Linked DNA regions of Notamacropus eugenii. The protein of the gene in region 2 interacts with the protein of the main gene of each other region in a pairwise test. Links are inferred from orthologs where the notes say so. Each region holds a gene or a part of one and is shown on either strand. Other genes may lie near its edges.

Region 1 (7,404 bases), on a different chromosome or scaffold from region 2:
GTTCACTGTGGGCAGGGACAATTATTTTTTTTTCTACTCTAATTGAATATATTTTGTAGGGGAGATTGACACATCAACCATGTACTTGGTAAGGAACAGAATTGACATTTCTTTATAATTATTATTATTATTATTAATGTAACAAGGGTCTGGCCAATGAGCCTAATCCCTACACGCATGTGCACAGTGCTGTTGATGCAAATACCCAAATGAAAGAGATTTAGGAGCCTGCTTCTGAGAGAATCGTGATGATGGTAATAGAGAAACTCTGGAACCTTCATAGACATTCTATAACTGGGTCTGGTCTACTTACCATGTGTTATTGATCAGCAGCCTCTCTGATTGGCTTCAGCTGCAGAGGGGTGTGTGTGTGTGTGTGTGTGTGTGTGTGTGTGTGTGTGTGTGTGTGTGTGTGTGTGTGTGTGTGTGTTGGCTTCAGCTGCAGAGGGGTATGTGTGTGTCTGTGTGTGTGTTCGTCCTTGTGTGAATGTGTGTGTGTGTGTGTTTGTCCTTCATTGCTGAAGAAGACCATGCCATCAGAAAAATAATGACATGATTTGCACTTGACTTTGTTTTGAGTGAGGGAGGTCTGTGCACGTCACCAGCCTCACTTCTCCTTCAGAGCCATCTGAATCCAGTGACCAAATATTCATCAGGATGACAGGAGATGACCCAGGAGGAGGCAATTGGGGTTGTGTCTTGCCCACTCACAGTTAGTGAGTGTCAAGTGTCTGAGGTAAGATTTGAATTCAGGTCCTCCTGACTCCTGCACTGGTGCTCTGTCCACTGCACCACCCTATACTAATCAGATCAGAGAACGTTCCTTTCTTCGCAGGAACTTTGCATCTATGTTGTTTTAGTATTTGGGCAAAAGTGCGAAATTCAAAACCAGTCAGAAAGTTTCAAAATGGTCAAATGTCTGAATCTGGAAAAAAGTAGGCAAATGAATGATTGAATTCTTGGAGATGTTTTTGCCCTGGGTAGCTACAGATTTTACTTAAAGGTTATTTTGCCATGTGTTTAACTACTTTGGACATTTATGAATAGCTTTAAAACTGAATGTGTTCCCCTGATCAGTGACAAGTAGTTGGAAATGGAGCCATCCTTCCTTGGCAACATCAATAGATACTTCTGAAGAGGAATCTTTTCTGGACCCAGAGCCTTCAGAAGATTTTTGGCTGTCTAAGACCTACCAAAAAGTTCCAAAATATAATAAGATGTCTTCTATTTTCCCCTTTTAATCATTTTTATGAAGGAGGAATCTAGGGATCTAAAGAAAGAATCTAGGCTTATGAGATCTTCAGCAGTCAGCTTTCCAATTCCTTGTGATTTCAACTAACGTGGTTAGAACCTAATGAATACCTCCTTTACACTCTCTTTTGCAATTCCTAATCATTTGGTAGCTGTACCTAACTTCCTTCACCAATTCTCACTAAATGAAACTCCCTCTATCTATGTGGGTTGGCACATTATCTGCAATTTATAGTCCTAGAGGGTTGCCTGGAGGATTGAGTCAAAGTGGAATTTGTTTTTGTGTGGAAGTCCTCAGAAAATATCCTAATAAAATCATGGACATTTCGTTATTATGGCTTTTGACAATAAAACAGAAAAGCAGCAGAAATGATGAATTTCATTGTCATGAGTATTTTACATCTAAGTTTTTTTCACATTTAACTTAATTTAGGAATATTTGGAAAAATGATTGAGGTAACATACTTAACAAATATGTATTATATAAAAACTGGATGAAGGGTTGAGCTTGCATTTACTATTTTGCAATATTTTGAGAGCTCACTGAAGAAAAAACTCAAAATATTTCAGTATGAGTATAGGTTGATTGCTTGCATTCAAATCCATGATCAAAATGAGAGAGTGACAATAATGAAAAATAAATAGAATCATCTATAATATACTTGAATAATAAACTAAACACATACCTTGATTCCCTTCAAGCTAGATTGAAGGGGAAGGCATTCAAAAGGGCTCTCTTTCTCTCCTGGCTGGAGGACGTCTGGTAAGAGACAATGCCTAGAGGACAGAGGCTTCAGGCCACCTTCTTGTCTCAAGCCAACATGTGGCTCCATAGAAGATAGATAAGGCATTTATTAAGTGCTTACTGTATGCCAGACACTGTGCTAAGCACAGGGAATAAGCAATACAAGCAAATCGTAATAAAAATAAGAGAATCCCTGCCTTCCTGGAGTTTACAACCCAAGGGGAGAAGACAGCACATAAAAGAAGTTGCAAAAGGGAGTGAGGAGGAGAGGAAAGGATCCAGAAGGCATCCAAAGAGTCATGAGCTGAGCCAGGTTTGGAGTAAATGCAGCTGATGCAGGTGCTTCTCAAATATAGGTTTGGGAATGATGTCATCACAGGGACAGGGGTGGGAGGAAGGGGAGGAAGGGAGCTGAGCGGGGAGAAGAAACTAGCATGAAGCCAGCCACTAGAGTAGAGGTCCAGAGGCAGTGCGGGGAGTGATGGCTTTGTGAAGGGAATTATGATTTTTATAATAATCAACATAATATTTGTAAGGAAAATACTACTAGATTAGTTTTCTAAAGAATATCCTCTCTTGTGAGAGAGCTCACAATGCAGCTTAAAATGATGAGTCCAACTTCGGCAAGGCTCACAATTACTGGGATCTTTGTGCCTGCTTTCCTGAAGTGAAACGAATCAAAGCCCATCATAGAACCAAGTAATGACCCCCAAGGACTTGAGCTGTATTGCTCCCATAAGACTCCAGAATTGTTGTATTGTCTTCCATTTCTGGGTTTGTCGTGGGAAACTGCTCAAGTCTAGGAAAACATTGTAATCTGCCTTCTTTCCCTCCTTTCCCACTTGTGATTTATGCATGTAATCTCTGTTTTCACTTCAGCAAGGTGGAATTCTGATCAGGAAAATTCCCAGTTTTCAAATCTGTTTCTCATAATGAAACTAATTAATGGCCATTTGATTACTGGCACTTTGTGGTCTGCTGTTTGTTCATTCTCAGGTTAGAGACTGGTTCAGTAAAATCCTGTTAACTAACAGCCAGAACCAGGTTTTGGAGTAATCAAAACAGGAGTCTGGGAGTAAGTGAAAACAGGGTTGGGTTCTTTGCTGTCATCATTGTTCTTTCGTTTTGGTGAAGGAAATTGGAGACTGTGACCTTATCAATACCAGAATGTCAGGAGAACTGCTGGAGTGCAGGGTTTTGATGACCTGATGATGAGAGGAACTCATCCAGAATCACTGCCATATTTGCACATGAACTTGGTGGGACCAATACTACGTAGAACGCATATTAAACTTAAGCCTACTGTCTCCAGAGACTGAGACATTATCCCGAAGGATGTGCCTCCACAGTGTTGGATGGAAATGTTTGTATGTTTGTTCTTGCTACATCTTCTATGTTAATATCCTTTTGTAAAAGCTAATTGATATTAATTGGTTAAGTGGAACTAGAGGTGACTAATAGAAGGGGCACTTATTACAGTGTCTGGTACAGAATATTTAATAAAGATGCTGATTGGCCAACTGGGGGGAACGCATTGAAAATGGCAACTTACACTATTAGCAGTAAAGAAGACACCTTCAGTCCCTCAGGGGTACCCCTAGAACCTAGAACCTAGAGCCTACCTTGGTCTTCAAGAGTGAGCCCAGAGCACGTTCAGTACATGAATAATACTGAACAATTGTAGAGTGTCTTTCAGTGTGCTTTCAAGTTTATTATCTGACTTGATCCTTAACAATCCCATGAGGTAGAGAAGGCAGAGATTATTACCCCTATTTACAGAGGAGGAAACTGAGGCTCATCAGAGTTTAATGAGATGAGACAAAGGAAGTTCTCCTGACTTGTAATTCCTAGTTCTTTTTACTATAATAACCACTGCCTTGTATGGACTTTCTTTCCTTTGGTGTCTCTCTCTCTCTGTCTCTCTCTCTCTCCGTAATTGTAGAACTGCTGGATTTCATCTCCTCAGAGCTCTGTGGAATGTATGGAATGTCCCTCCTTATCTGCTACAACCTGGAGAAGACCCTGACACTTGCACAGGAGGGTCTGAGAAGTCTCCCCACTGCCAGGGCTTGGCAGGATCCTTGACCAAAGTAGATTCCACGACCTACTGAGGAAGGCCGAGTTGCAGGAGAGCTTTAGGAACAGCTCGGAGAAACTCGTTTTGACTTTTCTCCCAGTGCCTCCACAGCCCGCTAGCCCCCAGGTTAACTGGGGAGGAAAGCGCAGCTGTCTAGACCTCTTGGGGGAGCGCTAAGCCTTTTGAACCCGAGAAAAGGAAGAAAGACCAGAGAGTGCTAGGGAAGCTGCCCACTGCTCTCACCTGCCCCGGGGCAAGAGGGCGGCGAGAGGAAGGAGGAGGAGGAGCCAGCAGTGGGCCGGGCTGGGGTAGGGAGACAAAGTGAAACTCCTGAAAGTAGCTCAAAGCGTGGAAGGCCTGGCCCAGGGAGGGGCATTTGGCGGTTTCCCCTACCGCTCCCTGCCTCCTGAGGCCGGGCCAGCTGGGCGGCCGCCAGCGGTTTCCTCCTAGGGGAGCGGGCGGGGGCAGATCCCGAGCCTGGACAGCGTGGGGGCTCCGATCCCGGCGCTCGGGCTGGGTGGCTGGCAGCACCCGGGGAGGCTGCGGCGCTCCTCGCGGCCCTCTCCCGGCCCATGAGGACAGCTCCCCATGGCTCTGAGCAAAGGGCTGCGGCTGCTCCGGAGGTTCGATGTCTCCGGGGAGAGCAGCACCCTGCTGGAGGCCCGCAGCCGCCCGGACTGCCTGCTCTTCGAGGCCGGCACGGTGGCCACGCTCAGTAAGTGCTCTCCTTCCTTCCCCCGATCCGGGGCGCGGACCTTCCTGGGCCGGGCTGGCACGTCCTGGAGAGCCGGGCAGCGCACGGGCAGCGCCCCTGGGGGAGGGAGATCGCTGCCCGGGATGGGGGAACAGAGGCACTGCCCGAAAGCTCGCCCTGGGGCTGCTTGTCCAGGGTCTGCGGTACGGGGCAGCGTGGTGCCCAGGGCAGCCTAGCCTCGTGCCGGGTGGACACTCCGGGAGTGGACTTCTCTTTAAAAACCCAAGAATGAAGAGGCTTGGAGCAGCTTGCGGTGTATGAGTGGGAGGGAGCTGGGGCTGTAGTGTGGATTCCAGCGCCCTTCCAAGTCAGCTTTAGAGCCCCTCGGCTCAGACCTTCTCTACAGTGACTTCTCCCCATGCTGCCTCTGCCCAGCCTGGGTTTGGGTTTGCCTGCTGGGCTGGAGGGATCCTCTGTGGGTTACGGGAGGAGGCGGTGGGGGGCATCACCAACGCCCCAGCAAGGCGAGCGCAAGCCTTTTTTGTCTTACTTTGGTGCCGGAAACCAGGAAATACTAACTATGATCTGAAAGATTTGGCCTCTATAAAGATTGGGCTGCTGTGCCAACTCCGCGTGTGTGTTTGTATGTATGCATGTATGTGTGTGTGTGTGTATCTCCCTACACCTGTTTTTGGAACAAATGATTACAGTAGGAAATATTGTGAGCCGCTTGGGTAATAGGTACATTGGTACATGGGTAATAGGTACATTATGGAAGCCTTGCTGCTTCAGGTCAACAAAATACATGGTGAAGAAAACTCAGCACACTCGAGTACAGAGTTTGGCTGGCTGTAAGGACCAGCACTAGATCCTTGCCAATACAATGGGTACATTTCTGAGTTCTTGGTGGCATCGAACTTGACCTTGATCTCTAAATACTGTGATAAGTACACATTTTTTTCAGGTAAAACCACCCCGGTTGAGTTTGCCACTAGCATCTGTGTGAAGGATTCAAGCAGTAAGTACTTCTAAGTGTTCTAAATTAGTCAGGAGTGTGGGACTTTTTAAAAACTAATTTTTTTCCAAGTGTAGATAAAGCCAGAGATTCCACTTTACAAGCTTGCTGAATTTGTGAGCTTGTGCATATATAATTGGTTAAACAATGAGTGGAGAGAAAATGCCATGTTTCCTATATTTTCTTGAAATTTGTGTGGCATGCTAATTTCATTGCATGCATTGGTAGATGGTTGTGTAAACATTTTTAGTATATAAACAGTTTGATAGGTGTATGAGCTATCTGTCCAACTAAACTGTAAACTTTTTAAAGGTACCATTTCTTTAGTTAATCTTTTCCTCCCCAAAAATGTCATTAAAAATGCAGTACCTTTTTTCTGAGATTTTTTTTTGTATGCACAAGTTTTTGTTTCTTTTATTCTTTTATATTCAATTGGTTCACCTCTATGAAATGCAAGCTCCTTGTGGGCAAGGGCTGTTTTTTCTATGCTTTTTTTTTTAATCTTCCTGTTACCTAGGACAGTGCTTTTCACATGATAGGTACTTAATAAATCTTTGTTAAATTGAGAGCTTTATGTAAAGTTCCTTATCTCAGTTCTAATCTGATAACTTCCATGTTCCTCTATGGAAGCCCAAACTGAGCTATTTGGTAGTATCTCAAAAGAGAAAAGAGATAGACATTTCCATTCCAAGTTTGATTCCCATGAACATTTTAGATGATTATTTGTTTTTTTGCTCATTTACCTAAACCCAGAGTAGGATTGCATAAAGTGACTTTTGAAAACATATACAAATTTGTATTTCCACTTAAAGTGTTAAGATATGCTTTTGAGAGAATGGGAGGAGGTGGTTTTACAGCAGTTAAAATATTCAGATAAACATCAACAACTTAAGATTTCATTATTTCAAATGTGAATAGCTCAGTTATGAATTGAAGCAACAGAAGGCACATTTTTCATTATGAAATTAATTTTGCGATTATGCCTTCCCAAGGTGTTTTTATATCAGTAAGCCAGATACCAGAATATTTCTTATGATAAAGAAATTGTCATATCAATCTAACCACGTCATTTTTTTTTTTTAGTCTTTCAAATTTGTCGCTTAACCTAGCATTGTGTGGTTTTGTTTTTCCCTGGAATTCTTAGGCTGGTATTTATGGTACACTGTTATCTTTATTTTTCTTAAATGAAATTGAGTTAACCTGTAGCATTTAATTGGTAGTACTAGCTTCAAAAAAGTCATTTCTTCATACTTCTCTGCTAAAGCTAGGAGCAGTCTTTTCCTAGAGAAGTAGTCTGTATGATCCTTTGAAAAATCAATAAAGTATAAGTTGATTAGACACAACAATGTTTGAAAAAATGATTTCTTCCCACTAAAAGTGTCCATTCATACAGCTTATGGGTTGAGTTTTCTTTGAGTTTTCCTCTCAGCAAAGCTAGAATGGTTCCATTTTTATTTTTTAATTTTCTTATATAAACAAAACTCTTTTTTTCTCTCTCACCTCCTCATTGGGGTTATTACCCTTGTAATGATAGGCATACTCAAGCAAAACAAAGTCCCATATAATTCTTTGATTTAAAAAAACAGCATTGAGTTAGAAGATTGTTCTGGAAGAATTTTTGC
Region 2 (7,753 bases):
CCTGTATCTGTCACACAAAGAGAGGAGGAGCCCGTGGCCCCAACTCCTCTGATATCCTTGAATGGCCTGCCTGTATTTTGAGAAGCAGCTACTGGAAGGTCTGAGTGAAGCTGGTGGCAGCCACGCTGGGGGCTGCTAAGGGCTGAGGGGAGGCAGAGAGAGACCAACATGGACTGTAGTGGAGAGGGGGCTGGGTCTGGGCTGAGAGCAAGGTTCAGTGTCCTCACCTATAAAATGGGAACGATGTCTTTTGGAGGGTAGTTGTTGGAAGACTGCTCGAACCTTCACCCGTCACCTCCAGGCCACGCCCCCGCCCCCACTCTGTCTAGCCAGCACCAAGAACAGGGTTCTGGACGAAGCTCTGCTGAGCTGGGTCTACTCACTTGTAGGCCACAAGCATTTCAAAGCTCATTTCTGACCACATTTCTCTGGGTCAAGTGACTGACTGCACTGCACAGGCTCCTCCCCTGACTTAGAGGATAAATTTTCTTTAGAACTTCCAGGGTAAACAGGGTGACTTCTACCCCGTCTTGTCCCTAACACTCATTTGTCACAAAAGCACAGGGGTTTATTTCAATTTCTTAACATAATAACTTGTACTAGACTCCTACCTAAATTCCAGTATCCCAACAGCTCACACAGATTTATGTCCTTCCCCTTCACAGTCAATCTGCCCTCACTGTTCATCTGGGCCCTTCTCCAAATCCCCAGCTTCCTTCAGAAACAAGTTCAAGCACTAAGTCTCAGCTCATGAAAGGCCTGCCCCTGGTCCCCTCAGGTGCTTGGACCTCTCTCCTCAAAAAATAGCCATGGACTTATGTTGTAGATGCTTATGTGGGTTAGAAGAAGGTAAGCTACTGGAGGGAAGGGTCTTTGAGGGAAAGGGGCTGTAACCCCTGTCCAGTCCACAGCAGGCCTTTCATAAATCTTGGCTGACTGTCGGGAAAGGCATTAAAGTTACAACCACAGTTCTTCTTTCTGGTATGACTGTTATTTGAGGTTGATTTCCTTTACAGGAATATGTTATGACCAAAGCCTGCTGGCAACTTCAGAATTCTGGATTTCCACATTCTTTATCTTTACCGTGACCAAGGTTTCTATGACCTCTGAGATTCACATTTTCAGACTCTGTCCCAGGCAAAGGACCACAGCAGGTGTGGAAATGGAAAAGTAGAATTCAGGGGTCACTGTTAACTCATGACTATGTCTTAAATTAATCCCAAATCTTTATTAAAGACTAACGAACAACCAATTGATTTTTATTAAGTAACTACAACGTGGTCCGTGGGCTCAAAGAGAACACAATCTAGTGGAAGAGGCGACAAAGCTGAGGAGGCTTCCTGGGGAAGGTGGAGGAGCAGGAGGGAAGGACAGACAGACAGGATGCCCAGAGCCCAGAGATGGAGGCTCTTGTCCTGGGACAGCCAGGGGGCTGGATCTCAGGATCAGTGTGGTGGGAGGGGAGGATGAGTTTTTAATGCCGAAGAGAGGATCTTGGATAGGAAATTGAAGAAAACTAAGAGCCCCTGAAATTTGGGGGGGGTGACCCATGGTCCGACCTAGGCTTAAGGATGATCACTTGGGTGAGTGCAGGGAATGGACTGGAGTGGGGCGGGGCAGAGTTTTCGCAGGCAGACCCTGAGCATCTCCCCAAATGGTGCAAGGGAGGGAATGAGGGTCTGATGAGGAAAGGGAGGGAAGAGGATGAGGGTCTGATGGGGGAGGGGATGAGTCTGACAGGGGGGAGGGGAAGAGGGTCTGACTGGGGGAGGGGAGGAGGGTCTGACTGGAGGGAGGGGAGGAGGGTCTGACTGGGGGGAGGGGAGGAGGGTCTGACTGGGGGGAGGGGAGGAGGGTCTGACTGGGGGGAGGGGAGGAGGGTCTGACTGGGGGGAGGGGAGGAGGGTCTGACTGGGGGGAGGGGAGGAGGGTCTGACTGGGGGGAGGGGAGGAGGGTCTGACTGGGGGGAGGGGAGGAGGGTCTGACTGGGGGGAGGGGAGGAGGGTCTGACTGGGGGGAGGGGAGGAGGGTCTGACTGGGGGAGGGGAGGAGGGTCTGACTGGGGGGAGGGGAGGAGGGTCTGACTGGGGGGAGGGGAGGAGGGTCTGACTGGGGGGAGGGGAGGAGGGTCTGACTGGGGGGAGGGGAGGAGGGTCTGACTGGGGGAGGGGAGGAGGGTCTGACTGGGGGAGGGGAGGAGGGTCTGACTGGGGGGAGGGGAGGAGGGTCTGACTGGGGGGAGGGGAGGAGGGTCTGACTGGGGGGAGGGGAGGAGGGTCTGACTGGGGGGAGGGGAGGAGGGTCTGACTGGGGGGAGGGGAGGAGGGTCTGACTGGGGGGAGGGGAGGAGGGTCTGACTGGGGGAGGGGAGGAGGGTCTGACTGGGGGAGGGGAGGAGGGTCTGACTGGGGGAGGGGAGGAGGGTCTGACGGGGGGAGGGGAGGAGGGTCTGACAGGGGGACCAGGAGGACCGCAGTGCGGCAATCAGCACAAAGCCTGGGGGAGGGCGGGCGGGGTCTGGGGAGGGTCATCACAGCCAGGTCACTGGGGGAGAGGGGCGGCGCCCCCCCATCCCAGGAGCCCCTACCTCCCACCCCTGATCGCTGCCGTCAGCCGGGCCCGCGTCCTGCGCACAGCCCGAGTCAGTAGGACCCGAGTTCGAATCCGCCCTCAGACCATTCCTGGACGAGTGACCCCCCCCCCCCCCGGCCCCCCTTCGCAGGGCCCCCCCCACACGCGCGGGCCGCCCCCCTCCCCGATCCCCGCCGCCGCCCCCGTAGCAGCCGGGCAGTCTCCACCGGAAGCGGGGCCTCCTTCCTGCTTCCTGCTTCCGCGTGACCCCCCCCACCCCGCGCCCCCCGCGCGCCCCCACCTGCCGCCGCCTGCTCCGCCTCCGCCACCGCCTCCGCGGCTCCCTCGGCCGTCCGCGAGGACCCGAGCCAGGGGCCCCGACTGCGCTCAGGGGCTGACGGGCCACGAGCCACAGCTAAGCAGCTGCTGCGGCTCCTGTCAGAGCCGCCTGTCAGCGCCGCCCGGCCCCGCCCCTACGTCATCGCGTCGTCATCTCACGTCACCGCGCCCGTCGGTACGTCATGTGACGATCCTCCAGATGGAAGTCGGGGGCGGAGCCTGGAGACAGGGGAGGGGGACGGGGGAAAGGGACCGTGGAGGCTGAAGACGAGGCCAGGAGGGGCGGGGCCTAGGAATGAAACCTTCCAAGGAGACTGGGAGAGCGAGGGGGCGGGCCCGGATGATGAGGACGGAGCCTGGAGGGCGGAGGGGCGGGGCAGGAGGGCCAGGAATGGGAATGTGGAGGCGGAAGATGAGGTCAGGAGGGGCGGGGCCTGAAGAGAAGAGGGACGTGGTCTAGGAAGGAGACCTTCCAAGGAGACTGGGAGAGCGAGGGGGGCGGGGCCATAGGGGCGGGGCCTGGCCGAGAGGGGTGCGGACTTGCTCCCTGCACAAGTCCCTGCACGTGCCCTCCCTTTGAGTCTGAGTCGGTGGCTTCCCAGTGGGGGCAGTTCGTCCACCAGCTCAGAGGCCACGCGGAGGTCATGCCACCCGCCAGCCCCGGCGTCCTACAGCCACGACTCCTTGCCCTAGAGGCCTGTGGATCCCAAAGATTCTAGATCCCAGCCAGTCCTCGTGGACCCTTGGGGCTAAGAATTAATAATGCTCGATAGATAACATGGATGGCATAGCGCTCCACAAATGTTAGAACCATCAAAATAAATAGGTTTTTAAAATTGTATTGTTTGTAGAAAAAATTAACCATAAAGTGAAAATAAATGAAATGTGTCTTATTTGTGAAACTAAAAAATTATAATTATCCATTGTTAAGAAGACATAATAGGATGCCCTGATACTGTGGTGGTAGCAGGAATCTCGTGAATCACAGAAATCTAGTGAGAAAGACTGGTCCAAGCTGCCCTTTGGGGAGACACTAGAGGGGGAGAGGGAAGACTAAGGAAGGAGTCTGAGGGCATCTAAGAAAAATGATGTAGATGCGGGTCAGTGGCTCATCCTGCGCCGCTCATCCAATGCCAACGCCAAATGGGGCATCCAAAGCCAAAGGGTGAGAGAGCCCCTGATGTGTCCACAAGGTGATGGGCATGGAGGAGGGGGCAACGTGATCATGTCCCTTCTTCATGATTCCTGACCAACCCTGCTAACTTCCATGTACTGGTCTATAAGCTGCTGAAGGGGAAGGGTGCTCTCTCACAGGGCAGGGAAAGACCTTGGGCAAGTCAGTTCATTTCTCTGGCCTCCCTCAGTTTGCTCTTTGATGTGACCTTGGTGAGTCCTGGCAGTCCAGCCCCCTTCCAAACCAATAAGAAAGAGTTCTCTTCAGTTCATTATCACTCCGCCCACCTTCTCCACGTTTCATCATTGCTCCTGCAGGGCTCTGCCTGGACACCAGAACAATGAATGCAAACCCCTCAAGCATTCCTGGGAAGGGTCCGGCTTTCCTCAGCCCAGCCTTGGTGCTTGACTGCTGCTGAACTGAAGCACAACCAGTGAACACTGCAGGTCTTTTCCTCCTTCCACACCACCAAAAAGTTCCTCCTGGAACACTCCAGCCTTCAGAGAGTGCTCCATAGGGCTTAGATTTGAATCAAGGTCAGAGCTTGATTGAATTATCTATTTTTTCCTCTCTCCTGTCCCCCACCTACAAGAGCCATGTCTGACATGGGGGCACAGTTCTTGGAACTTGGGCAGCAGTCTGTGCCTATGATCTAACCCACAAAAGCTTTGGTAAGCATGTTTCAAGAAGGGTGTGATATGGGGTAGCCTGTTACCTTTCCACTTAGGTGGTAATCTTTATTTCCTGTCCACTAATTTTAGGCTAATTAAAAGTATCATAATTACTTGTTGAGCATGGAAATCAAATGCATGACTAAAAGGAAAAATGCTGTCTCCCGATCGGCTTTTGAATGATGAGGAAAAAATGCTATAGATCTGCAGGACAAGAGAGAGGTACCATCAGCATCAGATGCAGGCATAACTTGGCTGCCTCGTCTGGGGCTGCCACATGGCCATGAGCACATGGTGCCTATGGTTCTCTCTCTGGTAACTATGTGTGTATGTAATGGTCACGATGGGCGGCCCAACCCTAACATCACATTTCTCCCTAGCCTCAATACACCGTCTCCCAAGGACAGCCCGCCCTAGCCAAACCCTTATCTCTCTGCCTGCTACAACAGCCAGCTGCACCTCTACAATTTATTAGTTTGAACCATCTATGTACTGGTTGAACTGGCTGTGTACTGGGTCCTAAAGATCAATCACATGTATCCTAGACTCAGACATGTGTTTACTCCCTTATGTTTGTCTTGCTTGATGGGAGCAGCCCGGGTATTTCTCAGTCAGCCCTGACTGCTGGTTGAGGCCTAAAAGCACACCTCCATGTAGGCCTGCCCCTTGGGTAACATGCCTGCACAGTATATCCTAAAAGTGCATGTTCCTTTAAGAACTAACTATTCCTTAACCACTGCTTAATCCTGCCCTGAATAACCTAGTTGGCACATTTGGCACGTTTGCTATAAAATATCCTGCACAAGCTTTGACCGTACCCCTCCAAGGTTGCAGGCAGGTGCCCTAAGAACTCTTTCCCATCGTGACTTCCAGGATGCCTGAGTCTGTGACTTCTCCAGGCTCCGTCTGCTGAGCACTGCTTGATTTCTCCGCTGGTGTACGTGATCACAGAAGACCCTCTCACAAAAGCAGACCTAAAAGCCTGCGTGGCAGACCCCGCGCTGGCAGACCCCGCGCTGGCAGACCCTGCTGGAGGCGTCAGGGCGCCGCTGCCACATGGCACAGAGACTCCGTGAAAGGGAAGGGATCCCTCCTCCTCCTGCCTTCCCCAAGGAGCCACCGTGCCCACGAATGCAGGGGCACGGGCACGCTGCCTCGGAGTTCGGGCGCTTCTGAGCTGCTGCGACGGAGGTGATCTCACAACCAAAACCTTTCTTTTTATTATTCTATTTTTCCCCAGTGACATGTTAAAACAATTTTTAACATTTGTTTTTAAAACAGAGTTCCAAATTCTCTCCCTTCCTCCCTCTCAATTCCGGGGACAGGGAGGGCTCTGGAACAGCTGGTGGGGGGCGGAGCCAGGTGGGGCGGAGCCAGGAAGGACCGCGAGCCAATGGCGTGCGGGCCCACTGCGCAGGCGCGTCGGTCCGAAAGTGTCTTATTCAGATTGCGGGGAGCCGGAACCAGCGGGGCCTCGCGCCGGCGCAGTACCTGTCGACTATGTCTCAGCGACCTCCGCGGAACTTCCGCCAGCGCCAGGCGGACTCAGGCTCCAGCTCCGACCCCGACTCTGACCCTGGGCCCACACCTGATTCGGGCCTCGGCGGCCGCGCTCCCGAGCGCACACTCGGGGCTCCGCGGAGTCGCGGCCGCGCCCGCGTTTGGGCGACTTCGCGCCGCGCAGGTCCGTGCGAGGGCAGCCATGGGGTGGGGAGGGTGCGTGCGCACACGCGGACTCCTGGCGCATGCGCGGAGCTCCAGGGAAGCTCAATCGATGTCCGAGAGCTCCCGTCTTCCACGGATGCATGACCTCATCGATTCCATGGGGAGGGGCCCCTCGAGGGTTGTGCAGGGATGAAGGAAACTGAGGCAGTGCGGGCGGGGCAGGGGCAGGAGCTAACTCCAACCCCCTCCTATTTCCTCCCCTGTCAAGTTAGGGTCATGACGCAGACACCCCAGGCACCCCTCATTCTGATCCCCTGTCCCCATGGACCCTCCCCGCCCCTCAGCCCCCAGACTCTCAGGCCACAGCCTCTGGCCCCACCCTCGCTGCCCTGCCTCAGTTTCCCACTCTGTCTCCAGGCACCTCCCGGTGTGGACCCGCCCCTCCAGGTGTGCAGGGGTGCTCCAGTTCTCCAGAAAGGAATGGTGAGCGCCCCTGCTGGAACCCCTGCTGGCGTCTTGGGGGGAGCTCCCACCCCAGGGAAGAAGTGTTAGCCTGGGGCTCAAGGTCAGGGGAGGGAAGGGCTGCAATCAGCCTTGTTGGAGGGATCCTCCCCGTTGTGGAGGGCCCGCGTTCTGCCTGGACTGGGCCTGAGGAAGGGCGCTGAGGGGTTCTGAGGGAGCTCCCCCTGTCCAGGTCCCCCCACTGGCTGCCTGGCGCTGACTAGCATCGCTGCCACTGCTTGTCCCCCAGAGTCCCCCCTGCCGCCTGGCCATGAGGATGAGGACACCGGGGCAGAAGCCCAAGACTTCTCGGGAAGCTCATCTGGCGAGGAGGCTCGTTCCCCAAGAGCGCAGGATGACTGGCCAGGTGCGTGGCCCCCATGGGCCAGTCCTGGGGCTGCTGGGCGATCAGCAGTCACCTGGCACTCCCTGTCTGATGCCAGACCCTCCTGATCTGACCAGCGATGTCCATGGCCAGATCTGCATCCTCTGAGGAGTCCTTGCTCAACCAAAACCTTTCCTTGAACCCTGCGGGGTGACCCAGAGGCTCTCCCTGACCCTTTTCACTCAGTTCCTGTGGGTCCTTTAGGGAAGATGCAGAGTACAGGCCATAGATCTAGGGCCACAAGGTCCTCCTGTCCTGCATCCTGTGCCGCCTCCTGGGGAAGAGTCATGACTGGAGGTGGGAAAGGGGCACTTTTTCTAAGGACAGACACAGGTCTCGGGGATGGTCCCATAGGGTGCAGCAGAGCAGTCCGCTCTGGTCCACCTGGGTGAACCCATGGTGCTGTGGCCAGTTCTGAGCCTGAGCCAGAGAGGGGAAGCCAGGTT
Region 3 (6,913 bases), about 630 Mb from region 2:
TCATAAGATTATCTTGATAGATGCAGAAAAAGTCTTTGACAAAATACAACACTCATTCCTAGAGAGAGTAGGAATAAATGGAATGTTCTTTAAAATGACAGGGAATATCTGTATCAGCAAGCATTATCTAAAATTGAGATAAGCTAGAATCTTTCTCAATAAGGTCAGCGATGAAGCAATATTATATTATATATAGTATATATTTTATATTATATATAACATTTATTATATTTATTTTTAAATTATGTATTTATCATATTATTATATATAGTATTAATTATATTATATAGTATATATGTTATATACATTATATATGTGTTATACATATTATATATAGTATAGAATATAAAATCATTTATTATTACACTAAGAGAAATTGAAGGAATTAGAATAGGCACTGAGAAAACAAAACTCTAACTTTGAACATAATGTTATACTTAGAGAATCCTAGAGAATCAGCTAAAAAAAAACTAGTTGAAATGATTAACAATTTAGCAAAGTTGCAAGATAAAATAATCATAAACAATGTAAAATACTTGGGAGTCTACCTGCCAAGACAAACCCAGGAACTATATGAACACAATTGTAAAACACTTCACAAAAATAAAGTAAAATCTAAACAATGGGAAAAAAGCAATTGCTTACTGGTAGACCAAGCCAATAAAATAAAATGACAATTCTACCTAAACTAATCTACTTAGGCAGTACTATAACAATAAAACAACTAAAAAATTTTTATAGAGCCAGAAAAAATAATAACAAAAATCATATAAAAGAACAAAAATTTAAGAAGATCAAGGGAATTAATGGAAAAAAAAATGAAGGAAGGTGGCCTCATCATACCACATCTCAAACTGTATTATAAAGTGGTAGTCATCATAACAATTGTGCACTGACTAGGAAATGAGTGATAGATCAGTGGAATTAATTTGGTACATAGTGTGCTCTAATAAATGACCATAGTAATTTAGTGTTTGGTGCACCCAAAGATCCAAACTATTGAGACAAGAGCTCACTATTTGACAAAAATTTCTGGGAAAACTGGAAAATAGCATGACAAAAGCTAGGTATAGACCAAAATTGCATACCATATACTAAGATAAGGTCAAAATAGGTACATGATTTTATTTTTTTATTATTATCATATATTTATTTTTAGTTTTCAACAGACACTTCCACAAGATTTTGAGTTCCAAATTTTCTCCCCATCTCTTCCCTCTGCCCACCCCAAGACAATATGCATTTTGATTACCCCTTCCCCCAATATGCCCTCCCTTCTATCACACCCCTCCCTTCTTTTATCCCCATCCCCTCTATTGTCTTGTAAGGCAATACAGATTTCTCTACTACATTGCCTGTATATCTTATTTCCCAGTTGCATGTAAAAACAATTTTTAACATTTGTTTTTAAAACTTTGAGTTCTAACTTCTCTCCCTCCCTCTCCACGCATTCCCACTGAGAAGGCAAGCAATTCAATATAGGTTATACATGTAAAACACTTCCATAACAGTCATATTGCAAAACACTAATTATATTTCCCTCCATCCTATCCTGCCCCCATTTATTTTATTCTCTTTTTGACCCTATCCCTCCTCAAAATTGTTCACTTCTATTTACTCCTTCTTCCCATTTGCCCTCCCTTCAATAATCCCCCACACCCCTCTTTTCCCCTTTCCACCTACTTTCCTATAGGGCAAGATAGACAAAATAGGTACATGATTTAAACATAAAGGGTGATATCATAAGCTAATTAGGGAAGCATGGAATAGTTTATCTGTCAGATCTTTGGAGAAGAGAAGAATTTATGACCAAACAAGAGATAAAGAACATTACTAGATGTAAAATGGATAATTTTGATTATATTAAAAAATTTTACAAATAAAACCAATGCAACCAAAATTAGAAGCAAAGCAGAAAATGAGAAAATTTTATAGAAAGCATCTCTAATAAAGGCCTAATTTCTCCAATATATAGAGAATAGAGTCAAATTTATAAGAATACAAGCTATTCCCCAATTGATAAATGATCAAAGGATATGAATGGGCAGTTTTCAGATGAAGTAATCAAAGCAATAGTCATGTGAAAAATGTTGTAAATCACTATTGATTAGAGAAATGCAAATTGGAACAACTCTAAGGTAGCACCTCACACCTATCAGATTGGCTAATACAACAGAAACGGAAAATGATAAATGTTGAAGGGGATGTGGGAAAACTGGGACACTAATGTACTCTTGGTAGAATTGAGAACTGATCCAACCATTCTTTTTTTTTTTTTTTTTTTTTTTTTGCGAGGCAATGATGGTTAAGTGACATGCCCAGGGCTACACAACTAAGGAAGTGTCAAGTATCTAAGGCCAAATCTGAACTCGGGTCCTGCTGACTCCAGGGCAGGTGCTCTATCCACTCACTGCACAGCCGGCCTAGCTCCCTTGATCTGACCCTTCTGGAGAACAATTTGGAGTTAGGCCCAAAGGGCTATAAAACCTGTCCATACCCTTTGATTTAGTAATACCCCTGGTAGGTCTATATCCCAAAGACATCCAAAAAAAAAGGGGGGGGGGGGAAGGACCTATTTGTACAAAAATATTTATAGCAGCTCTTTCTGTGGTGGCCAAGAATTGGAAATTGAGGACATGCTCATCCAGAGGGAAATGGCTGAACAAGTTGTAGTATATGATTATAATGGAATATTATTGTGCTGTAAGGAACAATAAGCAGGATGATTTCAGAAAAAGCTAAGAAGACTTACATGAATTGATGCAGTGAAGGGCACAGAAACAAGAGAACTCTGTAAACAGTGACAGCACTATGGTACAATGAACATTCATAAATAACTTACTATTCTCAGAAATACAACAATCCAAAGCAATCCCAAAGGACTCATGATGAAAAATGTTATCCACCTCCAGAGAAAGAACTTATGGGATCTCAATATGGATTGAAACATACTATATTTCACTTTTTCCTCTTCTTTCATTTTTTTGTTTGTTTACTTCCACAAAATGACTAATATGGGAGTATTTTACATGACTGCACGTATACAACCTATATCAGATTGCTTATTGTCTATCCAAAGGAGAAAAGGAGGGAGGGAAGGATAAAATTTGGAACTCAAAATTTTGAAAATGGTAAAAAAAAATATTTTTGCATGTAATTGGGGAAAATAAAATATTATTTTTAAAAATAATAAAGAAAACTTAGGCCTTGAAAAGGGTGACTACATGAGTCCAAACTGAAATTGTGAAGTGGATGAAATTTGTTTTTGCTCTACTTCTGTTTCTTTAGGATTCTGATCGGGTTAGCTAACAACCAAGAAATTTGAGTTAAATGAAATGTCACGACTCACATACATCTTAAGTATGTTACTTGTATTCCTACTGTAACGTACTTGCATTTGAACTGAGTGCTTCACGCCTTAATCCACAGGACCATTGATGGGAATGCCCTAGATTTTGGCACGCCAGTGGATTTGACTCCCTTAGGCAATTTCTGTCATTCCCAGGGTCAACTAACCATCCAGGAGGATAACCTTCTTCTGTATCATTATCAAGATGAAGAAAAGGGGAAGCCTAGGGGATGATGATGACCTCGATTTGGCCGAGATTCAAATACTAGCACCGTCCCTTGCTACCTGTGCGATAGGTCATTTACTCGGAGCCCCGGTTTCTCTATCTGTGAAGTGTGAAGTGGTCCCAGTCCTACATGACCTCCAAAGTTCCTGATCTCTCACTCTGGTTCCTATAATCCTAAGTGCTACCTTCTCTCCAGCCTAGGGCCCCTTCCTTCCGTGCAACATGAGATGGATAGGGGTGGAGGGAAGGTGGAGTATCGGGAATTGGGGGGTTAATTCCCGGACAGGCATCAGCTGACCCCCGATCGCGACGCAAAAAGCACAAATGAAGTCGACTCCCCCTCCAGCCTCCCCCACCCCCTTTCCCCAAAAGGAAGGGCTCAGCCCAGTACTGAGCGAGACCGATCCGCGGGTAGGGAGGCCGGCCCGCCTGCAGAGGGGCAGCACCGACCCCTCCGGTCCCTCCCTCCGCGAGCCCCAGCCAGTCTCCAGCTGCCGCCGCCCCCGATCGGGCAGGCAGTCCCAGGGCCGGCAGGGGAGGCCGCCACGCTCCCAGCCGCAGCCCCTCGGCTCCGCCTGCTCTCCGGCTCCGCCATGGCCCGGCCGATTGAGGTGGGCGGCAGGGACGGCGCAGGGCCACGAGAGGATGCGTTGGGAGAGGAGGAGCAATACGAGGCTTGGTCCGGGACTAGGAATCCGGTGCGGATCCGCGTAGCCATCCAGGCGGCAGAAGAGGAGGGGGAGGAAGAGGCTGGGGCCGCGATGGGGGGCAGCGGGGAAGGGGAAGACGACGGGGACGCGGCTCGCTATCTCAGCCCGGGGTGGGGCAGTGCCAGCGAGGATGAGCCTAGCCGCGGTCACAGGTACGAGCGTAGGAAAGGCCTGGACAGGGGAACGGGGTGCTTTGGGATGGAGGAGGTGAAGGGCGCGGGCGGGCTGGAGGAGTGCATGGGGGACAGCGCAGGACCGGACAGGCAGCCCGGCTGTTCTGCACGAGGGCTCAGACTCTCGGCTCGCCAGCTTCCCCGGGGCGGGGGGGCACCCAGATCCGCGCTTGCTGGGCGGCACACACGCAGCCAGCACCCACCACATCCCGGCCCCTTCCCCGCAGCACGGCAGGAGGGGCCCGTAGAAGTCCGGAGGGCCTCATCCTCGATCTACACCATCCTGATCTCCTAGTCTTTGGGGTTTCTCTTCCAGAGAGTGCAGTCAGGACTTCTGCATCCCTGCCTCCCCCAGGCTCGCCACCGGAGGTGGAGAGCTTAGGGAGCTGTTGATGTCCTGTAAGCCAGGGCTGCCCAAAACTCCGAATCAATCATTTGGGCTGGGTCAGTCATGCCCATGGAAAAGGACACTGATGTACTAGTCTCAGCGGTTACTCACTGTCTAGCCGTCTACACCCAAATCCGCTTTTGGGGAGGGGGGATAAGAGCTAAGCCCCCCAGTGCAGATAACGTGGTAAAAGAATATAGCTACCCACCCTCCTCCCCCCATTATGGTCTATGTAATCCAAACTGCCTCCTTGCGGGGAGTGTTTCTGTCTTTCACTGTCTCTGTCTGTCTGTCTCTGTCTCTCTCTGCCCCCTCTTTCTCTCTGTCTCTGTCTGTCTCTCTCTCTCTTTCTCCCCCCTTTGTCTCTGTCTCTCTTCCCCCCACCCCAGAGTGAATAATGAGAGATTTGTACATTTGCAAGTGGCATAAAGGTAGACTCACCGAAAGATTATTTCATGGCCTCAGCTCTCTATTGGCAAAGTTCTGTCACTTCTAGGATCCTCCAAGCTGTAGTGTTCAACTGCCTTAACAACCTATACAAGTCAAGCGATCAGTTCAGCACATTATCCCTTATGATATAAATTGAATTGGTTTTACTCATTCTGCCCCTAGAGGAACATTGGATGGGGTTCTAGTACCAGTTTGGCCACTGATTAGCTGTAATATCTTGGCCAAATGACTTCCTTTCTCAAGGCTTCAGTTTCCTCATTCATAAAGTGAAGGAACTGAAGGCTCGATGATGTCTAGGGTGTCTTTCAGCTTTGATTTTTTTCTCAAACCTGCTGACAAGTATCTTAATTCTAGTTGTAGAGATAGCATAAAACTCAAGAAGTCTTTTTTGTTTTTTGCATAAACCTGCCCTGTCCCATCAGTTCATACCCATCTAGTGCCTGCCATTGGTGTCCTAGCCATCTGAGTTCTGTGTTTCATAATACTGTTAGACTGGTTTAGTATTCAAAGGGTGGGACTCATGGTATCAAGACACTGACTTTCCTGTGTTTGCTCTAGGAGGCTTCTGTGTTTCAGTTCCTGAGCCTTAATCATTATTCAGGGGTCATGACTTCAAGGACCCCACAGGCCATCAAGTCCAGCCCCAAAGGGAAGAATAATCCCCTGTATACCATAGACACCAAGTGATCTTCAGCATTTTGCTTGAACACTTCCCACTGCTTCTAAGACAGTCCATTCGACTTTGGGGTAACTCAGATCGTGATGTCTTTTCTCCTATTATCAAGCCCAAACTGGCCTCTTTCCAAGTTCCCACTGTTGCTCCCAGTTCTACTCTCTGGGTCCCAGGAAAATGAATGTAATTATTCTTTTTCTGCATGAGAGCTATCATATTGTCCCTAAGTCTTTTCTTATACAGGCTAAATACTCTGGTTCTTTTAACTGGTCCTCATAAGGTGAACATGAGGCAGATAACCATTTAGTGTCCTCTGGGTGCTCTCCGCCTCTTCCTAAAACATGGCGCCCAGAGTGTAACCAGGATGTCTAATCAGGACAGGGTACAGTGGGACTGTCATCTTCCTAGCCACAGACATTATGCCCCTCAGTGTTGTCTGGAATGACTTTAGCTTGTTTGGCTGCCATGTCACAGTATTCACAAAATCACAGAATTTCAGAATTGAGTGACCCACCTTAGTGGCCACCCAGTTCAGCTCAGACCTGAAAAGGAATCCTCTCTACAACATTCATGACATGGAATCATACAAATTTTGCTTGAAAACCACTGAATGTCACAGTAGGAAGAGTGAAGAATTTGTAAACAGAGGAGCCAAGTTCATATCCCTATGTTGCTACATATTGCCAGTATGAACCTGGATAAATCACTTAACCACTCTGGACTCATTTTCCATGTCTGTAAAATGAGGGGGTTGACTTGAATGACCTCAGAGGTTCCTTCCAGATCAAAATCTATGATCTTAATGAGATTACCCATTACTCTCTGGACAGCCCTTCCATTTTAGAAAGCTTAAGAAGATTTTGCTTATATCAAGCATAAATTTTCCTCTTTGAAACATCCATCCATTACTCTTAGTTCTGCATTCTGTGGGAAAGAGAAAATGT
Region 4 (7,311 bases), about 89 Mb from region 2:
TTTGCTCTCTAAGCAACATCAGGCAAGGTTCATGCATATCTTGCTTTGAACATGTCCTCATTTGGTGAACCAGAGGACATCTTTCTACTTTGTTTTTCCTTTTTCCTTAATTTTGTGAAAAGCAGGAGCTTTAGTGAGGGATGTATTTTGGAACATATGGCAGTAGGAATTTTATAATAGGAAGAAACATATGAGGAACCTACAGAACATGATCCTTGTTTTCTCAGAACTCTCCTGGAAATGTTTGTAGCCCTCTTATGCACTTTCCAAATTTCAAGCCCCTCATCCTCCTAGCTCTGATGTATTGTTTTTTGGTTACTGTTGGAAATAGATATCCAGCCTACTTCAGTTTTCCTCAGCTTCTGGTCCATTTCTGGGCAGACCCTCCCCCTTAGCAAGAAGATAGGAATGGTGGCCCCTGGTCTTGGCGCTCGTTGTAAAGTTAGAAGCCCTGGATAGGGAGTCAGATGGTGCCTGTCACTAACTGTGATGGAGCAAGTCCCCCCCTCCTTATCCACAAAATGAGCAGGTTTGGTTCAAGAGATCTCAAAGACCCTTTCCAGCTATGTTCATGGTCCTAATTCTGGAGAGCAGGCAGATAGCAGGCTCCAAAATCTGCTGCAAGACTGTAAATGGTGGGAAGTGCGCAGCCCTGGAGTCAGAGGCACCGAGTTCGAATCCTGCCCATGCCACTGGTGACCCAAGTCACTTCATTTATCTGTCACTCCACCGTTCCCTCCTCGGTTGGACTAGAACGAATTCTTCATCTCGGCGGGGAAGGAGGCGGTCTGCCCTTGCCTGGTGTCATGGACCCCTGGGGGAATTTCAGAATAATATTGGTAAATGAATAAAATACGTGGGATTACCAAAAAGCCAACTCTACTGAAATGCAATCATGTAAAAAATCTTTTAAGACGTCACGTTCCCCAGAGTAAGAGTTCCTGCTAGGTCCGCGGATTCCCTTCTACGTCAGGGAGTCTCGACAGACACGTTATTAGGGATGAGCTGAAGAAGCAGGGGCGGGAGGATGCTCGCGGGGAGCGCAGGGACGTGGCCGCTGGGGCTGCGCCCGCACGCGCGGCCCTCCCGCCTGCAGGGGGCGTGTCGCGGGGGCTGAGCGGGGCGGAGACTGAAGAAGCCTCCTTCCGCTCCCTGGAGCGCCGAAGCGCGGCCGAGCTGCTCGGAGCTCGGCTACCTGGTCTGGACGCCTCCTCTGAGCATCACTTCCGCCCTGACGCGGGCCTCCCTGAGTCTCGTCAAGGAAAGAGAAGCGCCCGGGGAGGCAGCCGCGCAGGCGCCGCCCGATTCTAACTGTCTGGGTTGGGGTCGCGGGGGTCCTGGGGCTGCCAGTCACTGCCCCGGGTCCCCGCCTCACACCGGGGACTCCTGAGCCGTTTCCCTTTCTTCTTTCACGAGGATGTATATTCTTTTGTCTCCCACAGAATGGACGGGCTACGTCCCCAGCCGCAGCCCCTTCCCCATTTGTCCACCCTTGTCTGATCAGCAGACCTGGCCCTTTGCCCGTCCCAATCCTCAGGCCGCGATGCTGGCCCCGTGAATTTAACTTATTCTTACTCGTGAACCCCTCCTCCATCCCCCCCCCCCCCCCCCCCCCGCATTGGGTGGCTGAGCATGCCCAGTCCGATCTGAAATCCAGTTATCCGGGTTTTACTCCACGGCCGGGGAGCGGAGCAGTACCTGTACTTCTAGCCTGGGAGAAGAAAGGGGGAGGGAGGGGTGTGTGTGTGTGTGTGTGTGTGTGTGTGTGTGTGTGTGTGTGTGTGTGTGTGTGTGTGTGTGTGTGTGTGTGTGTGTGTGTGTGTGTGTGTGTGTGTGTGTGTGTGTGTGTGTGTGTGTGTGTGTGTGTGTGTGTGTGTGTGTGTGTGTGTGTGGTGGGGGTGGAGAAGAAAGGGGGAGGGAGGGGTGTGTCTGTGTGTGTCTGTGTGTGTCTGTGTGTGTCTGTGTGTGTCTGTGTTGTGGGGGTGTCAAGTTTCCCTCACCTTGGTAGGGACTCCTCCTTTGTACCCACAGTCCAAGAGTTTTCAGGGTCAGGCTCTTTATTTGCTCCCTAAGCCCTATCAGGCAAGGTTCATCCCTGGCACTGCAGGCAGAACCTGAGAGGATGCAGGGTGGTGGTTGGTGGTGGTGGAGAACGGCATTAGACTGATAGGGGTGCCCTGTTGGAAGGAACCCGACAGAGATCGCAGAGGTTTGTTGACAAATTTTGATTGCTAACTGCATCGCTAGATCTCGCGTACTAGCTGTGTGACTTGGGGCAAGTAACCTCCATGCCTTAGTTTCCTCATCTGTAAAATGGCGATAAACCTTCCAGGATTGTTGTGTGGACACGTTCAGCGCTTTGCAAACCTTAAAATGCGTGTATGTATGTGTGTATATGCATACGTGCTATTACTCTGGTGTCATGGATAGAGCACTGGTTCTAGATTTAAGAAGACCTGAGTTCCAGTGCAACCTTAGACACAAGTGGTGTGACCCTGGGCAAAGCACTTAACTTCAGATTCTTCATCTGTAAACTGGGGATAATAATAGAACCTACATCCCCAGATTGTTGTGAGGATCAAATGAGATATTTTAAAAGTACTTTGTAAGAGCTAAATATCTATACCATAGATTTTGACCATACCATTTTACTTAGTACTCACATCCCAGAATTTTCTTTCAGCGGTTGCTGATATTTTTTGACTATGCAATTAAGAGGACAACAATGGACGGCTTACTAACATTTTCACGCTCCCCTTGCTCCTTTATTTGAGGGGTGTCATTTCTTTCCAGCTTCCACTACTTTTGTTTCTGAAACCAAGGAACTACATTGCTCTAAGTATCACCTGCTGGAGCACATTCACCAGTTAAGAAGCTCGATCCACCTTTACTCTAGTTTTTTGCTTTGTTGTTATTTTGGGTCTCCGTGTTCTTCCTAGGATGAAGTGTGTAACCATTAAAAAGATATGAACCTTTTCTGGGTCTCTGGGTTGTCAATCCAGTCATTTATGAAGCTCCTACAATGTGCCATCACTGTGCTAAGAGCTGGGGAATACAAAGAGTCAACGCCGTGCCTGTTCTGCTCTCAAGGAGTTGTCTCTCTTAATGGGGGAGATGATGCAAATTACTATGTACTCGCAAGATGCACACAGTGTAAATAGAAGGTAATCTCGGAATGAACGAGCAAATGCCGTTCACGTTAGAATAGATGACCTCTAAGGTCCCTTCTGACTCCTCCGATGTGCCCTTGTGTCCAAGAATGACCAATTAAACTGCACAAGTTGGCATCCTCAAAGGGAAGGAAAGGGCGAGTGCAACACGCATACCTGCCCTATCCCTCCCGGGAGAGCTTAGGGACCTGTCTCCTTTGGAGGTTGGCTGTACAGTGCCTATTCTATTTTAGGCATTCACCCGACACCTCTCTGGGTAACTAAGTCTGCGCCTCACCCCCCCGCGGTGCTTCTGATACGAAAAGAACCCCAGACCTCGAAAGGTGAAGCACGTTCTTTCATGTGACCCCATCTCACAACTCTGAGAGTGCTTTCCCCTGGCTCAGCTGGTGTCCCTCAGCCACCCCTCCTCGCAGTGTGACACTACTACCCTCGCTCCTTCCCCTCCTCTCCAGTGCCAGGGCTGAACTCCGAGCGCGGCCAATCTCCCTACTTCTTGAATCCCTCCCCCCCCCCCATCCCTCCAGGCCCTTCGCGGTTGAAGGGAAAACCTGGAGCCGGAGGAGGTTGGGGGCGGGGGAGGGGGAGGTGGCAGCCGCTAGAGACTGCGAGCCGCTGTCCCCGCTGCTGAGCATGCTCAGTAGCGAGGCAGGTTCCACTGAAGTAGGAAGCTTGAGCTTTACACCGGCGGCGGTGGTGGCGGCGGCGGTAGCACCTCGGGGCGGCCGGGTTCCTTTAGAACCACAAAATCGGGCTGTTCCCGTCCTCCTCTCCTGCTCTGTCCTCCCCGTCTCCTGGGACCCCCCGGGCAGCCTAGCCGCCGTAGCGGAGGGAAGGGGCGCCGGAGACGTCTCACTGCACGCCCCCCCTCCTCGGGGCTCCGCTGCAGGGCCAGGCCGGGCCGGGCGGGCCAGGCCCGGGGTAGGCGCCCAAGGGGACCCTGGGGGCGGCTCCGCGCTGAGACAGGGCCAGCGGCGGCAGCGGCAGCGGCGGCGGGGGTGGGGGGGAGAGCGCCGGCTCCGGCCCCGGCCCCGGCCCGGGGGAGGCGGTGCGGGATGCCGCCGCCGCCGCCTCCTGGCCCGGGCTCGGCTTGGTCCCTGGTCCTGTGTAAGTGGCCGCGCCGGGCCCCCGCTCGCCTTGCCCTCCGCAGGGGCCGGGTGTGAGAGCTCGGCCTCCTCCTCCTCCTCCTTGTCCTCGTCCTCCCCGCCCCCTGGCGCCCCGCTCGGCCGCCGCCGCCCCCCGGAGGAGCCCCCGGGGCACCATGCAGGCGCTGCAGCTGCAGTACGAGTTCTTCAGCGAGGAGAACGCGCCCAAGTGGAGGGGGCTGCTGGTGACGGCCCTGAAAAAGGTGAGGTGGGGGCGCGGGCCGGGGGAGGGGCGGGCTGGGCTCCGGCATCCCGCGGACGGCTTGCCCGGTTTCTCGGGGCGGTGTCGGTGCGGGCACTGCTCGCACGGCGACTGCGGGAGGCTGTTTGTAGCGGCCACCCACCGAAAAGCTTAGTGCCTAGCCCCCTATCCTCCTCCCCTTTTCTTCTGAGTATGTCGAGGTATGCAGAAGAGTGTCTAAAAATGATCCCCTGCTGCCTTTTCATTCTCTCCATCCCTCCATTCAGTAAGCCGTGAAGAGGCAAGTGAAAGGCAGCCCTGTCCTCAAGGAGCTTTTCCTCTCCTTTGTATATTAGGAACTAAGGTCAGCTTCTTGCCCTAGGTGCCCAGGGCCCCTGCGTGAGCACTGTGGAAAACTGCCCACATTCATCTGCAGGCTCCCTGAGGGAAGGGACTGACTTTGCCTTTGTGTGTATCCCCCGTGCCCAGCGGAGTGTGGCACCAAGGAGTCGCTTAAGAAATGTTGTTGATTTGACTTTTGACCATCTTGTTTGCCCTAAGTAATTACGCTGCTTGCCTTCGGTTAGCTACGGGATTAGATCTTTTTGGCTTTGTTTTTAGTAATCGCTTGCCACCATCCAGAATTGCCCCACCCCCCCATGCTCCATTTAGTAAGGCTATGCGAAAATAGTACTATTTGATTTATCAGTTATTACATTGGAAGGCTAAGGTTTTTGCTATTCGAATTTTGGCTTGATAATCAGAATTTTCAGAATTATCATCTCTTTGCAATCTGTAGCTGCAAACTTTTAAAAACAACATTGTGTACCAAAAGGACATTAAGACATCTGAAATTGGAATCCTTTAAAGAATGTGTACTTGTGTGACTTCTGAAGTAATAATTTGTTGTTTCTTTTCTAGTCGTCATTTCTGTTGTGCTGCATTTAGAAGTTACTTTGTCTTTTCCTATTTTTTGTTAACTTTTTTAAAACATGTTTTAAAATCCCTGTTACCATATTGTTCAACACTGAAGCTTAACAAAGTAACTCTGTGTTTAGTGATTTGTTCTTAAGATACATTTTACTTTTTGTTACTCTAGTCTAGAGAATTGAATTTAGAGAACAGTTACTCTTTGTATGCTTATTACTAGATTATTATATCTTCTTAATATGTCTTGAAAGGTATAGAAAGGTTTTCATTCTCACTCCCTTTTTCCTTGTATTTCCTTGTATTTTTGTATAACTTTTCACTTACTTTTTTCTTACAATGTTATTAAGTTCAGACTTCAGTGAACTGTTTTTTCTAAAAAAATCTAAGTTTTAGAAGCAAATGGAAAATCAAATTGCAGAAGTACCTTCATTATGTGCAAATCAGTATTCTTGCAACTTAAAGTACATAGAACCCAGGAAGCAAGAAAAATTTTCTGAGTCGCTAAAAAGATGTTACAAAGCTGGTAAATTTCACTCAAGATAATGCATTAGATCCTCACTTAGTTCTCCCTTTACTCTTATTTCATGCATGATTCTGCATTTAAGTGTGGAAGGAACTTGTGTCACTAAGGCATCCAAGCAGGCACTGATAGCTTCATAGTGAGAAAGAAGGGAGAAAAACTGTAAAAAGTAAACAAAACTCAAGCTTAGCTGTCTGGAGCCATTAGGAGCAAATAGCCTTACACACCTCAACAACCCCCAGGGGCATTACTGTATTACCACATGACCCATCATTAAAGTAATGATGATACTGAGTCACTAAGAAAAGGTTCAATTATGTTTAGTATCTTACCTTGGGGAGAGTAGAGTGCATCCCCGTGACTGTAGTGCCAGAGCAGGGATAAGGGTCCTCCTCCCCTCTCCTGCTTCTATACTTTAGGTCTTACTATCAAGCAGCTTGGTGGGGGATAGTCTCTTTTAATGTCCCCATTAACTAAAAACATTCTTCAATAGACTCATTTTAAGGAGGCAAGGAAGTACGTTATAACTTTGAGAAAGATTTGGCCCTCAAATGGGGTAAGTTTCATTTATCTGGAAAATTAACATGTGTGGAACAGTTCATTTCCTGATGCTGGATAGATGAGGTGTTACTATACTATACTTGTATGTGAGAGAAGAGATCAAGTAGGTCACAATTTGTGACCTATTGCCCTGACTAGCTCAGATGTTATTTAAAAAACAAACTATTATCTTGAAATTGATACTACCTCAAGGGAGGAGAATTTAGAGAATGTCTTTTGAATGTTGCTTTTGTGTTTCTTTTGTAACTCAGATTCCTTGTTGTTAATTTTAAAAATCCACCATCTAACACAAATCTTTAGTTTATTAGGAAATAGTCTACCTAACTACACATTTAAAAAAATAAAGTTGATGTCTTCTGTTTCTTACATCATTATCCTTATCCCAAGTATCTCTCTTGCTGTTCCTCTCAGAGAGCCATCTCATATGACAAACAGCATTGGGGGAGGGGGGGAAGGGAAGACAAGAATCAGTACAACTGATAAAAGTCCAAAAACATATACAATATATAACACTTTTATAATTCCTACCTCCCTGAAGGGATGGGCTGGGGATGTCCCCTCATATCTCTTCTTTCCAGTCCTTCTTGATCTTTGATTTTGTTACATTCACTTCATATATGTGTATATATATGTATGTATGTATACACACATATTGGTGTGTAGTTCTTTCTATTTACATTGTTATAGTTACTGTGTATATTGTTTTCTTGGTTCTGCTTACTTCTGGGTCAGTTCATGAAGATCTTTGCCTGTTTTTCTCTATTCATCACATACATTTCTTACAGCAGAGTAATATTCCATTAC

The links.
Region 1: the proteins of ITSN2 (region 2) and SYNJ2 interact in a two-hybrid assay, tested with the Homo sapiens proteins (2 studies listed by BioGRID and IntAct). The link is inferred for Notamacropus eugenii from reciprocal best matches to the Homo sapiens genes ITSN2 and SYNJ2.
Region 3: the proteins of ITSN2 (region 2) and LARP6 interact in a two-hybrid assay, tested with the Homo sapiens proteins (2 studies listed by BioGRID, with this or other methods). The link is inferred for Notamacropus eugenii from reciprocal best matches to the Homo sapiens genes ITSN2 and LARP6.
Region 4: the proteins of ITSN2 (region 2) and SOS1 interact in a two-hybrid assay, tested with the Homo sapiens proteins (2 studies listed by BioGRID and IntAct). The link is inferred for Notamacropus eugenii from reciprocal best matches to the Homo sapiens genes ITSN2 and SOS1.

Annotation. Positions count from the first base shown.
Region 1 is NC_092873.1:251,614,084-251,621,487, forward strand, and holds the start of SYNJ2 (synaptojanin-2), read left to right. Parts: upstream 1-4,395; 5' UTR 4,396-4,661; coding exon 4,662-4,788; intron 4,789-7,404. UniProt on the Homo sapiens protein: Inositol 5-phosphatase which may be involved in distinct membrane trafficking and signal transduction pathways. May mediate the inhibitory effect of Rac1 on endocytosis.
Region 2 is NC_092872.1:761,640,447-761,648,199, forward strand, and holds the start of ITSN2 (intersectin-2), read right to left. Parts: upstream 3,005-7,753; 5' UTR 2,874-3,004; intron 1-2,873. Other genes in the region: intron Large complex component GCFC2, read left to right, coding at 6,257-6,440, 6,839-6,904, 7,173-7,289.
Region 3 is NC_092872.1:134,940,532-134,947,444, reverse strand, and holds the start of LARP6 (la-related protein 6), read left to right. Parts: upstream 1-3,893; 5' UTR 3,894-4,168; coding exon 4,169-4,437; intron 4,438-6,913. UniProt on the Homo sapiens protein: Regulates the coordinated translation of type I collagen alpha-1 and alpha-2 mRNAs, CO1A1 and CO1A2. Stabilizes mRNAs through high-affinity binding of a stem-loop structure in their 5' UTR.
Region 4 is NC_092872.1:672,340,750-672,348,060, forward strand, and holds the start of SOS1 (son of sevenless homolog 1), read left to right. Parts: upstream 1-4,292; 5' UTR 4,293-4,431; coding exon 4,432-4,518; intron 4,519-7,311.